2 linked regions of the Drosophila melanogaster genome follow. The protein of the gene in region 2 interacts with the protein of the main gene of each other region in a pairwise test. Each region holds a gene or a part of one and is shown on either strand. Other genes may lie near its edges.

Region 1 (7,870 bases), on a different chromosome or scaffold from region 2:
ATATATTTAAAATTAGTAGATAGATTAAGCCGGTGCAAAAGTTGGACTCCGGAGTGAATCTATTTGATTGGGATTCGCTGCTCAGCAGTCATATGCTTATGAATTCTAAAATATTTAAATGCCAAATGGTGCAGGGGAAACACAATTAGCATTTTAATAACAGCCAGTACGTTTTTGGCCGAAATCTGCTTTTTTTTTGTTGTACTACATATGTGAAAATCGCACGATGAGCTAGCGAATTTTAAGTATTATGCAGAAAAAGTAGCGATAAATGTGTGGAGATATTTTATGCAAATCCGATTCTCTTTCATTATGAATTCTATTATGATCTGTACTATTAATAACAAATAACTCGATTTGAAAGATTTTCAAAATAAACCTTGGCGAATGCATTTTTGCATAGAACTTCATATGTTACTTATGTTTTTAATCGCGTGATTGACGGGGCATTCCTTAAGCGCAGAACCCTTGAAATGCCCACCAACATCGACCACATTAGGAAAAGGCTCGATTCAAAGCAGTGCGGCCAAGAGCAATCGTTAGTATTTGCGAACCAATCGAGAGGGCCCCTCGAAGATGTCCATCACAGAGACCGAGAGGCTCCGACCCTGACACGGATGGCCACAATGGGGGCACTTGGAAAAGTGGCTCAAAGGGGCCAAGTACTTACCTCTCTTATCACGGCCATTTCCGCCTCCACTCCGGCTAATGTTGCTGCTGCTGCTGATGTGATTGTTTTGGCCGAGTTGGAAGCCGTGGGGCACCTGGCTGATGGGCTCGGCCACCGGGATGGTGGTCACGGGTGAGTTGTGGCCGGAATCGACACTGGCCAGTGAGATGAGCACTACGATAAGTGTGGGGCGGATCATGATCACCGATTTGCACTCTTCACGCGAATCTTAGACACCAGTAAAAGTTGCAACTGCACTTGGCGGAGACCTCTCGGATGCACGTAACCGAAAACCGGGGAAAGCCAGTCGGCTGTGGTATGCTATAACCTGCGATCTCGAGCTGGAACTGAAAGCCAACTGACCGTCGGAGGTTGGACTTTCGGGTGTCTCTAGATCGGGGGCCTATTTGGTATGCAGCTTCGCTTTCTAAATTATCAAAGTTTTGGGGAAATGTTGTGGTATCTCTCGGATTTAGTTTTTAATATTCAAATACTATGCTTTTCTCCGCCCAACTGTCAACGCTGGATGGGGCGGGTTGAGTCTCTAAACGAGGGCCATTAATTTGCGCCCTCGAATTCGGACTGGGAGCCCGGTGTTCGTCCGATGCCTGGTCGTGGAGGCGAACGCGGATTAAGTAATCGCCCAAATCTACTCCACTCAATTCACTTTCTTTCCGCTTTCGCGGCGAGAGGCAGAAATTGAATTGGATCGAGCGAACTGGAGCGGATGGTCTCTCCTCACTGGTTTTGTGGTCTGTCGTGGACCGATCTCAGAAGTTGCTCACATTCGGGGCCGATCCGCTGAATGGTTAACATCTAGGCTGGGGCACTGCTTCACGATTTCTCGACTCTTTCCTGCGTTCGCACTCGCCGTGTTAACTTACAGACTAAAGCGTTTGAACGCGACTAAAACGAGTTCCTCGCTCGACTCCTCTCCGAGCCACCGATCGGATCGGTCAGCTGGCCCGATCTGCGATCTCTGGTCTCTCGGATCTCTCCCTCTCCGTATAGTATAGTCACTGCAAAGTGACCAAACCGCTAAGCTGCCGCTGCATCCAACGGCGGCTTTTCCTCCTCCTCGATGCTCCCTCCCGCGAAGATTTCTGGCTTTTAATTACAGGTGTGCAATAGATGAAGATGGTCGGATCGGATCGGATCGGCATCAGAGTTCTGCATCGCGAATTGGTTTTGTCGGCTATTTTTAGACCCGCCTCAATTGCAGATGAAACACCTCCGCGGCCTTGACTGGGCAGTTAAGTGCCCTTAATGAAGATGGGCATATACACTTGCAAGCAGATTACTGCGGGTTAGGGTATCTACATCAGATCAATCAGTGAGGGATCAGATCAACTAATCATAAATGGGACTAGAATTATTGTTTTTTTTTTTCTTAATTTTAATTCAATCAAAAGCATACATTTACGTAACTAGTCGAAAAAGTGAGTGTTCGTGCATCTTACTGGACGGGTTAATATGAATGGGTTAGTACCAGAGCCAAATTTCAATAATTGCTGCTGTGAATTTTCAAAGAGTCGCTTCCAAAATGCCAAAGGATGTGTTCCGAAAGGGTAAGCGTCAAGTCCGGTCGATGGGAATGGGATCCGCCTACGGATCTCTTGGTCTACTTCTTCTTCTTGCCCTTGCCCTTCTTGCCCTTGCCCTTCTTGCCCTTCTTCCCCTTCTTGCCACCGGTTAGCATCTCCTCGGAAACATAGGTCTCCGTGGTCACCTTGCTGATCGGAAGGGTTACGGGCTGCTTGGGCGTCCGCAGCTCGATCTCGATGGTATTCTTCTTGTGCTGCGACTTGGCCTTACTTCCCAGTTTTACTAGGAACACGTCGCTGTCGGTCTCCTCGCAGGTCTTGTAGCAAACCTGAAAAATAAGAAAAGCGACAAATCTTTTTAGATACTATGCAACAGCTAACCAAAATAGTCTCAATGCAACGCGTTGCATCTTTCGCAGAAATTACCATAAATAAAAAAGCTGTAGCGGATTGCCACCGCAAACTGAAAAGAGTGCTCCACACTTGGAGCTGGCAGATGTTACGCAACTGCCCCACAATTGAGGCAATCGAAAGCCTTCCCGAAGTGGCAGAAGTGGCATAGTTGCACCACCTGCAACAACGTTTAGGGGGGCAAAGTCACGGACTACCAATCGATCCACATTCCGCATCCGCACACGTAACTGGCGAACTTAAAAAATGGAATGCGGAGGCGATCGGCGATTGTGGTTAATGATTTAAGATCGAACATTCTTGAAATATGGATTTCCTTAGGCCACTCAGTGCTGCGCAAATGAATATAGGATGGACTCACCTCGATACCCTTGCGCCTTGTGTCCAAATTGACACCCTTCATGGTGTCCATGATGTCCTTCCGCTCGACCTGCATGCAACATGATCGCTGGTTCTGGACGGGACAGTGCGCGGGCACGATGGGATCGGATCCGCCGCAGAGTCGCTGGCGGTAGCAGTCGACCTTGGCCTCCTGGAAGTCGCAGGCCTCCTTGATCTTCGAGAAGGGCACGTAGTAGTTGTCGGTCTCGCAGGCATCGTTCCCAGAGTACTTGATATTGGCTCGCACCTTGGGGATGTTCGGGTGGTTGATGATGCGGCCGCCGGTCCGGCGCTTGATGTGGTTGCGAGCGAAGGAGCTGCGCTGGAGCATATCGTGCAGGCAGGACTCCTTTGCGGGCTCGCAGTCATTGGGGTCATCGCGATAGCAGGGATCATCGCCTGCGCCCAGATTGGGCGCAGTCTCGCTGCCATCCATCACGCTCTCCACCTTGTGGGTGTTCTTGAGTACGCGTATGGTCAGACCGCTGCCATTGAGGCAGGCCTCGAACTCGTCGTACGCCTCCGGACCCGGATCCGGCTTGGTCGGCTGGATGAAGCAGGGAGCCAACTCCGGACTGCAGTCGCAATCGCAGGCGCACTGACAGCAGCCATCACAGTCGTCCACATCTGAGGATACCAATTGGAAGGGATGAATCATCCTTAAGCCCGAGCTTCGGTGCAGGGATCCGCGTGTACTTACTCTCGTTCATGGGCTTGAGCATCTCATTGGTGATCTTGAACTTGCAGTCGACCTTTGGCTTCTTGCCCTTCTTGCCCTTTCTTCCCCTCTTCTTGGCCATGTTGTGCGGTTGAGTGATTGAGTGTGTAAGTCAATACAATTATTCACTAGGCTCAAGCTGAAATCTCAATTCCGAAAGCCTTCAATTCTCAATTTGGATATTGTACTTCACCAGTAAGTGGCGCAATTTCCGCACAGCTCGTTTTCGCGCTGAAATGAAAATTGAATTTGGGTTAGTGGATCGCTTCGAAAATTTTTTAACTTGATAGGAAAAAAAATAGTTCGGACGTACTGATTCTCTGTTTTAATTTCCATCCAAAACTCGGGTAACAACAACGAAAGATTTTATTTTTCTGTATTTTGTGCGGCAGACAACATTTCCCGTTCGAATGTATAAAACAAATGCTAAACGAGTGATCTTCTACACCCCGACTACTAGATGTTACTAAATGTTTCGCTGGAGTTACGAGACGTTTGTGTTGTTGTTCATTTCGAAGCCTACTTGGCATTCTCGAAATCCCAGTTGAAATCGTTTTCTAAATACATACATATATGAGCTCACCTTCATCACAGGCCATTTCGTACTCCTCCTCCCGTCCGTTGCACCTGACAGTGGGCTCCTTGTACCGAATTTTCTTGGTCGCCTGGAGGACTCCTGCGCAGACAGGATCGCAGTCTTCGTAGACGGCGGACGGACTATTCTCGTCTCCTACGCGGCAAACAGCACCTCCAGCCTGACGCTTCTTCTTGCCCTTGTCGTCCTTGCCACCCTTTCCATCCTTTGCGTCCTTTCCATCCTTGCCACCCTTTTTGCCATCCTTGTCCTTCTTGGGATCCTTTTCCGGTTTGTTCAAGAGCTCGGCCTGCATCTTCTCCTGGATGAAGCGTGGGTACGGTGGAATTCCGCCGCAGGGACCGCATTTCTGCAGCTTTTGTTCGATCGGCGAGAGATTGCAACGCTTTGTGGGAACAGTGGGGCATTCTGGGAAGAAGTATATACATTACATCATTAAAAGGAAGCATTTATATATGCTGATGATAGATTATAGTCACCTCTATCGAACTCGTCCTCGCAGTAGTCACAGGGACAGAGCTTGTCCAGATTGCACGAGTAGTACCTGAGGCACTTTGCCGGAGGCTCAACTCGCTTGGCACAAGGATCCACCATTGTACAGCGACGACAAGGAGGCTGGGCACACGAGCCCTTGCAGCCCTTCTTATCCATGGGCCCGCCGGTGGCAGTTCCGCCGCCACAGCAGGGACTGCAGGGATCGCACGGATCGCAGGGGTCGCAGGGTGGAGGACATGGTGGGCCACAGCTAGGAGGCGGTGGGCACGAGCCGCAGCTGGGAGGTGGTGGGCAGGGGCCGCAGGGACCACAGGGGCCACAAGGACCGCAGCAGGGCTCCGGGCACTTGGGATTGCGGGAGCAGACCTTGCTGAAGGGGAACGTGGACACAATGGTCGGACCATTGCACACCAATCTAAGGATCAGCACTATGTTGCCAGTCTGCATCTTGCAGAGATTGAAGAGGGGCAGCAGTCGCTTGGACAACTCCGATGTGGGACACCACTGCTCGTGACGTTCGTTCAGCTTCTCGTAGCAGGCACAGTTGTCCAGGAGGCCCTTGCTGGTGGGACCCTTCATCTTGGGCAGCTGGGCGATGTGCCCCAGCATGGCGTCTTCCCAGTCAGGATTCTCGATGTCAAAGGACTCCTTCACCCTGTCGAAGATGGGCTTCACCTTTAGCTCCGACAGTCCTATCAGGAACTTGCAGCTCTCCGTGCGCTTCTTATAGACATGCACCTGCAGCACATCCTTGTCCGTAATGGGGGAGTCCAGAGTGAAGAGGGCGCACTTGCCGCACTTGGGCGAACAGGGGTTAACACACGTGCCCACCTCCCGATCGCAGAGATTCACGTAAACCGACGAGCGGAACGTGATCTCTGTGCAGGTTGGATACTCCTCCGGAGCGCAAAGATTCTGGCGTGTGATCAGCAGATCGTCCACTACGAACTCGAACATGTAGAGGAAGTTTCCTGCAATCTTGGGAGGTTTCTCTGGCTTCTCAGACTTATCGGATTTCTCAGTTTTCTCAGTTTTATCAGACTTGTCCATTTTCAAAGGAAATAATTTTGGCTAGGCTTTTGTTTTGTCGAAACTAGAAATTTATATGCCCGAACACTCGCACTTCCAAAAATTTTGTGAGTAAATTTGAATTTAGATTCTGATTTTGAATGGCCGTCCAGACGGGGAGACTGTGGTGTTCGAACTGCTAAACCGACTGGATTTGCGAGGGCTACTGGAATCGGATGAATTTTGAAAACTTGATTCCTTGATTTTCGATATTAAGATTGTCTTTTAGGCAGATGAGTCTGTCTGTATGTAGATTTTATTACGCCTAAAATGCCTAGTAAGGTCTTATTTCTAACATATATATAAATTTTAATATTAAATTATATTATAATGGACAATAGCCTCCTCAAGTCACTGAAACACCAGAATTGGTATAAAAATTATTCAAATACTTTATTTATAGTTAAGATATGCGAATGATTATCAGTTGCTAGGCGCATCCCTTGTCAAACAATAAAAATGCTTATGGCAACTAAATGAGTACGGAATATAAAGGCTCGCAGCTGCATTTCCTACTCATGTCTTCTTGGCTGGCACGGTCTTGCAAGGATCGCAGGGATCGAATGGCGACGAACAGGGAGCAGGCCAAGTGGGCGGGCAAGGACAGCAACAGTTGCAGGGATCCTTGCACACTGGTCTCTGGACGGGGAAGGAGGATACCACAGAGGGCCCATTGCACACCAGTCTCAGGATCAGCACTATATTGCCCGTCTGCATTTTGCAGAGGTTGAAGAGCGGCAGCATCCGCTTGGTCAGCTCTGAGGTGGGACACCACTGTTCGCGCCGCTCCCTATTCCTCTCGTAGCACACACAGTCATTGGCCTTCTTGCAGGGGCCCCTCAGCTTGGGCATTCGCGACAAATGGGACTCGACGTTACTCTCCCAGTTTATGTTCTGTGAATAGAACTCCTTCTTCACCCTATCGAAGATCGGCTTCATCGGCAGCTCGGTCAGCCCGAGCAGGAACTTGCAGCTCTCCGTGCGCTTCTTGTAAACGTGAATGTGCATCACGTCCTCGTCCGTGATCGGCGATTCCAGCGTGAAGAGGGTGCACTTGCCGCACTTGGGCGAACAGGGGTTGACACAGCTTCCGTTCTCCCGATCGCGGATGTTCAGGAAAACCGAACGGAACGTGATCTCCGTGCAAGTGGGATACTCCTCCGGAGCGCAGAGGTTGGGACGAGTGATCAGCAGATCGTCCACCATGAACTCCAACATATACAGGAAGTTATCAGCAAGATTAGAGCGTTTCTCCGACTTGTCCATTCTCATATAAAAGCTTAAAAACTAGAAATTTGACAAAATTACTATACCAAAGAATTTGTTATGTGTTGAAAACGTTTTTAGAAATTTTCAGTCACTGAAACCTAATTTTGACGAAAAATAAATATGTTGAATTTTGAATTCAGATTTTGACGACGTGCCGAAAAGGAAAGACTGATTTTCGAAATGGATCTATGCGACTGAATGTAAAAGGCCTGCCTACGATTCAAAATATATAAATAAAAAGCTAAGAGCTCTGCATTCCTACTAAAATATCAACAATGACATTCTTTATATGATTAACACCCTCTGGGTAACCTGTACTCTTAACCTTTACTGGCCATCTTTTATGGTTGTCATAAACGCCATATACCCATATCATTAATTACATTTCACCTCCACAAGTAGATAGAAAGACGCCGGTCTGAGGTTTTCTAGCAATGCGTAAAATACTTTATTTAATGTCATTAAATGGTTCTACAAAAGTGATTGATCTACATTGCAGTTAATCGCAGTTAATAAGCGGCGCCTTCACAACTCCACTTCTTCCCGATCGAAACCCCAATCATTCCCCTTTTCCAGCCGCCTGAAGCTCGCCTAAGTGTAAGTGATCTGTGTATATAATGACTAACAAGTTGCAGAAGGGAATGGACTGGGGGGGGCTTTAAGACTAAACAAAAACAGAATAAAACAAAACAGAAATTGAGAGGAAGTCGAATCGATTA
Region 2 (7,943 bases):
CTTGATAAGCCATAAAATAAATTTGCAACACGTGGGTTATATCTATATTACGGCATTCGAAAAATGTTTTGAGTGGGAAAAAGCGTGCCATAAAAGCAGGTTTAGCAAATTAAGTATACGCCGCGTGGCGGCAATGAGAAATGTGTTCGTAATAGTTCAGTAGTTCTTCCTCGCTCAGATGGATTGCAATTGTAAATCAATTGATTATTCATAGATCGGAGTGAATTGTTCTGACAGGTGACTGCTGATTATTATCTCGTCTATATTGAGTAATATAAATATTAGCTAATGACTCATGATTTGCATACTGCATTTCCTGTGACTTAATTTTTGTTGTATGTATGATGTTTGTTGTCATGTATATTCCACAAATGTAACTTTGAGTGCAATGAACTTTTTGTGGCTGGCAAATTGGGTTAGCACATGCAATGTATCCCTATTGCCTGGATTTATGTCAACCTCGAGCACAATTAAAATCAATAGAGAGCGCAGTGAAATCATTCAGGTGTCTGACAATTCCTGCAGGACATTCGTCAGTCACATTTATTGCTGGCTAGTGGAAAGTTCGACAATGGAGCTGCGTCGGAAAATCGCTCTGCATATTCTGCCCCTATTTTTAGCCATATTTCTATTCACCATGGGCGAGGCATATCTGAAGAGTGTCCGCGTGGATGAGATTCCCTTTGCCGGAAGAAAGGCCCTGGCCAATCGGCGGTCCAGCGGTATTCATCTCATCTCCAGTCTGGAGCATCAGCGCACTTTTCTTCATCTCTTCCATGTGCCCTGTAAGTTAAGCAATCTATTTCGCAATCGAAAGTGTTATATACAAGAATGGGCCATAGTTTTTCCACATTTAACTAGAATGTTCTAGATCAAGATCTCTGTATTTTGAACAAGGATTAGAACATAGGTTTCTGTGTGATATCTTCCCAATTTACAATAGTTCTTTTCAGTTTAAAAGACATCCACAACGCATTGAAATCATTTTAAGAGACGAATACGGCTAAGCCTAAAAGTATGCTATACTTTTTCACAATTTATCATATGTCGCAAGGAAACAATGAATAAACTTCTTTAGCAACTAAAATATTTAAATTTTTATCTCCTCAAGCATATGAATACTTTTATTAAGGCTAGCAGAATTACAAATCGCTTAAATTTTTACATTTCAGACATCATATGCTTTTATGCCGCGAAGGGCAAATGGCCATATGTGCCTGGATTCATGAAATACCGGGTTGACAATGCAGCTCGCAGTTTCTTCAATCAGAACGACAGTTTCATCAAACAGTTTTGCACCAAGTGGATTCAGGTGAAGGAGTGCTTTCGTCCCTTATTCGGTGGGTGGCAACTCTTTATGGAGTTCAGACATAGATTGACCTATTTAGGCACCTCTTTCCAGACAAATCAAATAACACAGATGTTGAAGTGGAAACGCTCGATGCAAAAATTCAGGGACAGCGTTGTAATTGTGACAAATTGTTGCTCTCAACGGAGCCACCTGTACCGGTCGTCTACTTCGACAAGAACTACATTGGAAACGTCAGTTCGGAAACGATTTTGAATACCATTGAGTTTCTTGAGAGTTTCCTGCCACCGCCCACTAAAAAACACAAGCGCAAGAATCGCGTTCGCGGGCGCGTAGATGATATGGATATTGAATAGAAATCGTTCTTTTTCATTCGCATATACCTTCGTAACGCACTTAGATTTTAATCATCACAATCATAACCAAAAAATCATCGCTTAAATTTGAATTCAAATTCGGTTGTCAACAGTTTTCTAGAGATAAGTGGTACACTATCTGTAATGCTCAGAATATTATGGCAAAATAAAAATTCTTTAATTAACAGAGCGCAACTTAGCTTGTTAATATAGATTCTTGTTCATGTTTTTGTATTAAATGTAAAAATATTTATTAAAAATTGCTTTAAATGTTTTTTATCGATAGGCATAGCTATACCGATATTAGTCGATAGATATGCAGCTGGTCTTAGTTTATCGATAGTACTATCGAAATTGTCATCGCCAATTGGATTCTGGTATATATTCGCGGTCGCCGGACGGTCACACTTATTGCACTTACTCCAGTTGGAAAGGCAACAGTGTTCGCGTCGCGGAAGAAACAAGAAAGAAAAACAGCGAGAAGCACTGCAAATGCATTGGCTGCATTTAAAGAACAACCGCGATTAGAGGAAGTGTCTCAGTACACAGTCGAATTAGCCATACAAATTGGCAAAAGTGTTATAAAAGAGAAGCGCGGTGGTGTGCCAACAGCCCAAGAGCAAATTCTTTTGCATTCGCTTTTGAACCGCTTTCATCGCGAGTTCCCGTTTCTCTGTGTGCGTGAGCAAAGAGCGTGTGCAAATAACTTTTTGCCGCGTTGTCCGCCTGCTGCGAATTTCCAACCGAAAGAGGACAGCGAGAGCGCGAGAAGAGAAGAGAGGATCGAGTGATCGGGTGAATGTCGCTGAAACACCAGAAGCAATCCTACCAACCGCTCCCAACGGCGGCCGCCATGGACAATCCGGCGATGATCCAGAGCAGCGGTAGCAGTGGGAGCAGCTCCTCTGAGGAGGGCGGGAGTCGTGAGGATGTGGCCAATCTATCGCCGCTCGGACTGCCTACGACCTACTCGTCACAGCAATTGATGCCCTCGGATACGGACAGCATGGAGGAGGAGCGGCACCGACTGCGTCCCCACCACCATCACCACCACCCACTGGGCGAGCACCACCACATCCCGGGCATACCACCATCCGCCGTCGTGCCATCGCGTCTCTCCAGCGTGGGCAGATCGCAGTGGTTCACCGTTACCGTGCTATGCTTCGTCAACCTCATCAACTACATGGATCGCTTTACGATCGCAGGTGAGTCCGGTGATACCTCTTTGGGTGTCCTATGGGATTCCATACGTTTTTTGGGGGGCTTGTTGCCGCAGTAGATAGGAAAATTTGTTGACACTATTGAAGAAGATTGCTATAGACCGCTGTAAAAATCACAACTTTTGTGTGACCAAAAGATTGGGCAGCCCAAAGCACTTATAGTATGTATTCATTTATATATCAGGCAAAAGAATAATAAAAACATTTAAATTGCACAAAATCTGCTGACAAAATCATAATGTTATTAATTAGCAGCCGCTAATCAACAATACTTGTGACCTAATCAGTTGAAATTTATACCTCATCGTCGACAATGCGAGTCGTCGCGTTCCCATTGTTTACAAAATGTACCATAAAGATTGCGAGCGAGAGAATTTGATTAGTGACTAATCTACTTACAAGTGAATCACGCGATCCAAAAATATTCATACAGAGCATTTTATCATTCGATTCGCTTTGCACCGAAACTCGGGACATTTCCACTGGGTGGGCAATCAATCAAGACCCATTTCGCCTAAACCTAAACATATGTATATTATTTCTAGCACTCAGGTGCGATAAAATGGAGTGAGTGAGCACGGCGGTGGCGGCACCTGACCTGCTTAGCACGGCGGGTAATGGTAGTTGCGATCGGCGATCAGAAAGTCCCCCGCCCGCGTGACAATTACAGGGTAATCTCATGTTTCAGTCGATAAATACAGACACACTGCCCACATAATTGTTGAGTTTATTATTATTAAGAACATTAGCGAAGGAAATTGATCTTAATTCATGCGGGCGGCATTTCATTGGACACTTGTTGAGTGCCGAAGTTCTTTTCACTGTTTACTTGTGTCTGGAAAATGAGACTACTACCGATTGCACTTGCACTTCGACTGGCGACATCTTAGTTACACAAAACGCGGTGCAAATCGATTGGAAACTTGTTTCAGGTTACATGGCGAAACAAGTTGTGACTGATTATTATACGTACAAGTCCGCCTCAGACGACCGTTTAATATGCATTTCTAAATATGTGTATATTATAGCTATAGTTTCGCATTTTCTTCGTGAACCTGAACAGCCAGTTCTTCCTGAGTCAGCAGAACTTTTCCACTCAAGGCCATGTGATAACGTCTTTTACTGTATGTGTAGTTGCAATTAATTTGCAATTATAAATCACTGGCTATTAGTTATCAGTTGATTGCCGCAGCGGCAATTGGAAATCGATCTTACAACCCTTTTTTTTCGGTTGCAAATCATAAGCTTTTGATTCGTGTAAAGCCACCGGATCGAGTGACTAAAAAAACATCATACGACTTTTTGCAACAGAACAGGAAGTGGAATTACTCACCGAAAAGGGGCGATAGCACTTACATACCGAGCCAAACAAAATCGCTGTTTACATATTATATTTAATATAAACACACATCGCTACTCGCCACTCGGAAATTTTCATTATTTCCATGGGCGCCTAATTGATTGTTTATTTTGAGAATTCTGCGAGCGCAAGGCGAAATAGAAAACTCATATAAACAATGGTCGGTCGCACAAGGTTTTTGTTTTGCCATTTCTGCCAGTGGCATTGTTATCATTATCAACCCCCCCCCCACTTTTTTGGGCCTTATCAAGAAGTGGCTGAAACCAGACGCGCTGCATAATCAATTGCATTGGATCACCAGCTGCAGTGCACGTGGTGTTTTGGGTCACTTTTTTGCAGTGATTAGATTACCAAGCGATTATTTGTTTAGCTTCTGCTAACTGACTGCTCTGATTGCTTGGCCCTTTTGTATTTAATGTGAATTTCGGCATTTGCAACGTTTCCGTGTGGTTGTATATAACAAGCAAAAATACATGCATACATATGCATATATTTATTTGGCGCACATAGACGTGTGTATCAGCTGATGTCTGCCCAACCTAATGGAATGCATTTAATTATAATTTTAAGTGCGTCTCGGCCTTTGGCTTCGACCTCCGACTTTGCTGAAATTCGCCTGGTTTTTTAAGCTAAAACCGACCGACTGACGGTAGTGGTGTGATGTTTTGTAACCACCTCGTTCGGTCAAAAAAAAAAAAAAAACACTGGGAAGCCCCCCTCTTCATTCATGATCGTGATCTGTGTGAGGGTGGATGGGAAGGGGGGGGCGGGGCTATTCTGTTGTTGACAGTAAATTCAATTTCTGCACCGACAGCGAACTTTGATCATCGCAAAAAGAACTGGCATTTATTTTGGTCAACAGATATGTGGGCTGAGATATATAGACCAAGTTGCCGTTCTGCTATGCTTCCGACGTAATTTTCTTGGCCCCCATCCAAAGCAAGCGATCACAATAATTGTCTATGTCAATTGATCGAGTTGAGATTTCGGTGGCATACATATATCTGTTTTTAGTTATTTTCAAGTCTTTTGCAATCACTTTTACTTTTTTTTTGCCATTTTTCAACGTTTGTTTTGCATATTTTGCATTTGTTTAAACCCAAAAGTCACTGAGTTCGGTTTTTTATATATTCGCTTTAAATGTTTTTTTTTCTGCGAAAGATACATAAAAACTTTCCATTTTGTTGCCATCGCAGTTGGGGAAAGAAATAACAATGAAAAGAAAATATAAAATATGCAGCCTTGACAAACCGAAATTGTCAATACCCTTGGAAAATAACCACCAACTGAGTGAAATTACTCACACTGAAATTTACTGAATCAATTCCATTGCATAAACATTTGTCCAAACGATATTTCTAAATATGGCACAAACTTGTGGATAGTTTACTTACGTATGCCTCAAATTTGAATAGGTTCTTTGGTTACACAAAACGCGTGGATGTAACAAATGCACATTTCCTTAGCGTATTTTGCATTTTTGTTTGAGGCTTGCGCGCTCATTCAACGTCAATGGTTCTATTCTGCATTCAAGATACGTTTTTTGGGTCAACGACCTACGCAAAGTGCAGTGCACACTTTTTGCCGCAACAAATTCAATTAACGAAAGGCAAAAAAACTATCCGAAGAATAGTAGAAAAAAGGTTGGGGTAGGGAATGTCTGGAACGCGATGGTTGGGGAACACTTTTCTGTGGGCGCCGCCGCTTTCACAATTAATTTCCACCTGGCCCGCCGAAAAGAAAGCAAGAAAGTTTTTCTCTAAACACAATTCGAGTGCTCCGCTAAGCATTCAAATGCATTCCAAGCGAAAGTCACAGCCTCAGTGAGTTTTTATCTTTTTGGTTTTCGTTTTTTTTTGGGTTTTGACTTCGACTCGTGGCCGAAATATCTGTCAGAAATTCGTCGTTTATTCATCGTCCGATTTTAAAGCTTACGCTGCATATCGCGCGATTTTTCAAGGCCGACGTCATCAGACGCCACAGAACATGGGGGGTCAGAGGGAGATAGACTGCTGTTGTGCCGAAAGAGAGGGAGAGAGTGACTGAGAACAGTCACTTTCGGACGCAAACAACTTTTTCATTCATTCATGGTAATGAGAGTCCCGGCTTTGTTGTTGTGGCTTCTGCAGTTGCCTGGTTATAAATATTGGCTTTTTAAACGGATCAACGTTCTACAGATTTCTCTGGCCACAGTACAGTGCATTTTTATAGTAATAAGCTTCGTTGAAATTGGAAAAATAAAACACTTCAAAATTTCGACTTCTGGAATTTGTACTGCTCAAGTAATAGAAATTATTTTGAGATAAACGTACATACATTTCAGAGTCTTTTAGTAAATACCACTAGTCATTGTCTGGTTTCCAGAAAGTTCCACCTTTGGGGAAGTCCAAATATTATTTGTAATAAAACCTAGCATTGCGAATCCCACTGTCGCGTTTATTGGGCACAAGAGAGAACAAACCAAAGAGAGAATTTGGCCAGAGAGATAAACAGGTTCTAAAAATGCGGCAGCCGGCTAAAAAAGAATACTAATACTAAATACATTGACGAAACTTCCCCAAAAGTGGGGAAAATGGTAATGAGAGGGAGGTATGTATGTATCTACGTATTCCTTTGACTTCTTTTGTTTTTGGCCAAGAAGTGCCCATAAACATTAGGAATTCCTTGCGTGGAATGAGATTACTCGTTAAGTGTGCGAGATAGCAATAATATAAATATACATATGTATATATCATAAGGAATGCCTCACCCAGACCAGCCCCACTGTGTCCCCCCTCCGCCTCTCTCCGCCAGCCACTCTCAGTCCACAATCGCAATGCAGTACACACACACACGCACACAGACTTATCGCGTGGCGTCCCCCAACCGTTACGTCACTAGGCAAGGCAAACAAACACGCTGATTGGTCGAAAAACATCGTACGATAAATTTCTCAAATCGAAATGAGCGAAAAGACCCAGAAAATGGAATAATTAAAAAGCAAAGGCTGATTCACTGCAACTTGGCTGCTTCGTGCCACGTTTCGCTTCGGTTCGCGGGGGTTCGTGGAGCTTCGGCTCTCTCTCTCTCTTGAGGTCTCTTTGCGGCTCTCTTTTTCGTTCGCTCGCTCTCCTTCTTTGGGGCACAACTTGTTGAGCTTTCTGTGTGTCATTGTTGTTGCTGCTGCATTTGCCGGCTTCTGATCTCAGACACTCTCTCTCTCCTTCTCTTCCCCACTCTCACTCTCTCCCATCGCCCACTTGATTTTGTGGGCCGTTGTTTATTTTTGGGTACTCAAGCACTTTAGGTAGTTATTTTATTTTGGCCATTCCGCAAAGGCCAATGTACGAAGAGAGACGCATAGAAATACGGAGCTTAATAGCGGTTTTTGTTTTTATTTTGAGCTGCATGTAGAATGTAGGAAGTAGCGTTAGATCGGCTAACAGTTATTGACGAAGGTCGTTTGTCAATTAATTCGCTAGTTGCACATCCGTTTGTTAATGAATTTTTAAACGTCGCAAAGCTGAAGACGAGACGTGCAGGAAATACATGACCACACAGCTGAGAAAATGTGTGCGAAGGTGATCGCAGCGATCGATATTCAAATCATGACACAGATTTTCATCAGATCGATACATTGATTATCGGAGCTACGAAATAACTAGTAAGATAATGATATTTCGATATTTCAACACTTCGATTGTTACCAATTGAAAAGC

Evidence for each region.
Region 1: the proteins of spin (region 2) and CG9133 interact in a two-hybrid assay, tested with the Drosophila melanogaster proteins (one large-scale study listed by BioGRID).

The regions. Positions count from the first base shown.
Region 1 is NT_037436.4:1,250,161-1,258,030, reverse strand, and holds CG9133 (uncharacterized protein), read right to left. Parts: upstream 6,020-7,870; 5' UTR 5,865-6,019; coding exon of another isoform or gene 4,799-5,864; intron 4,728-4,798; coding exon of another isoform or gene 4,308-4,727; intron 4,179-4,307; exon of another isoform or gene 4,038-4,178; intron 3,956-4,037; coding exon of another isoform or gene 3,888-3,955; 5' UTR 3,807-3,887; coding exon 3,707-3,806; exon of another isoform or gene 3,665-3,706; coding exon of another isoform or gene 3,634-3,664; coding exon 2,987-3,633; intron 2,544-2,986; coding exon 2,292-2,543; 3' UTR 2,045-2,291; downstream 1-2,044. Other genes in the region: tfc (triforce), read right to left, coding at 671-869; CG9130 (uncharacterized protein), read right to left, coding at 3,888-3,955, 4,308-4,727, 4,799-5,864; Bfc (booster for Crq), read right to left, coding at 6,399-7,154.
Region 2 is NT_033778.4:16,122,913-16,130,855, forward strand, and holds the start of spin (spinster), read left to right. Parts: upstream 1-2,068; 5' UTR 2,069-2,464; coding exon 2,465-2,870; intron 2,871-7,943. Other genes in the region: CG30095 (uncharacterized protein), read left to right, coding at 572-785, 1,173-1,340, 1,403-1,665. UniProt on the Drosophila melanogaster protein: Probable sphingolipid transporter that plays a central role in endosomes and/or lysosomes storage. Involved in TGF-beta-mediated synaptic growth regulation both pre- and postsynaptically via its function in endosomal storage regulation.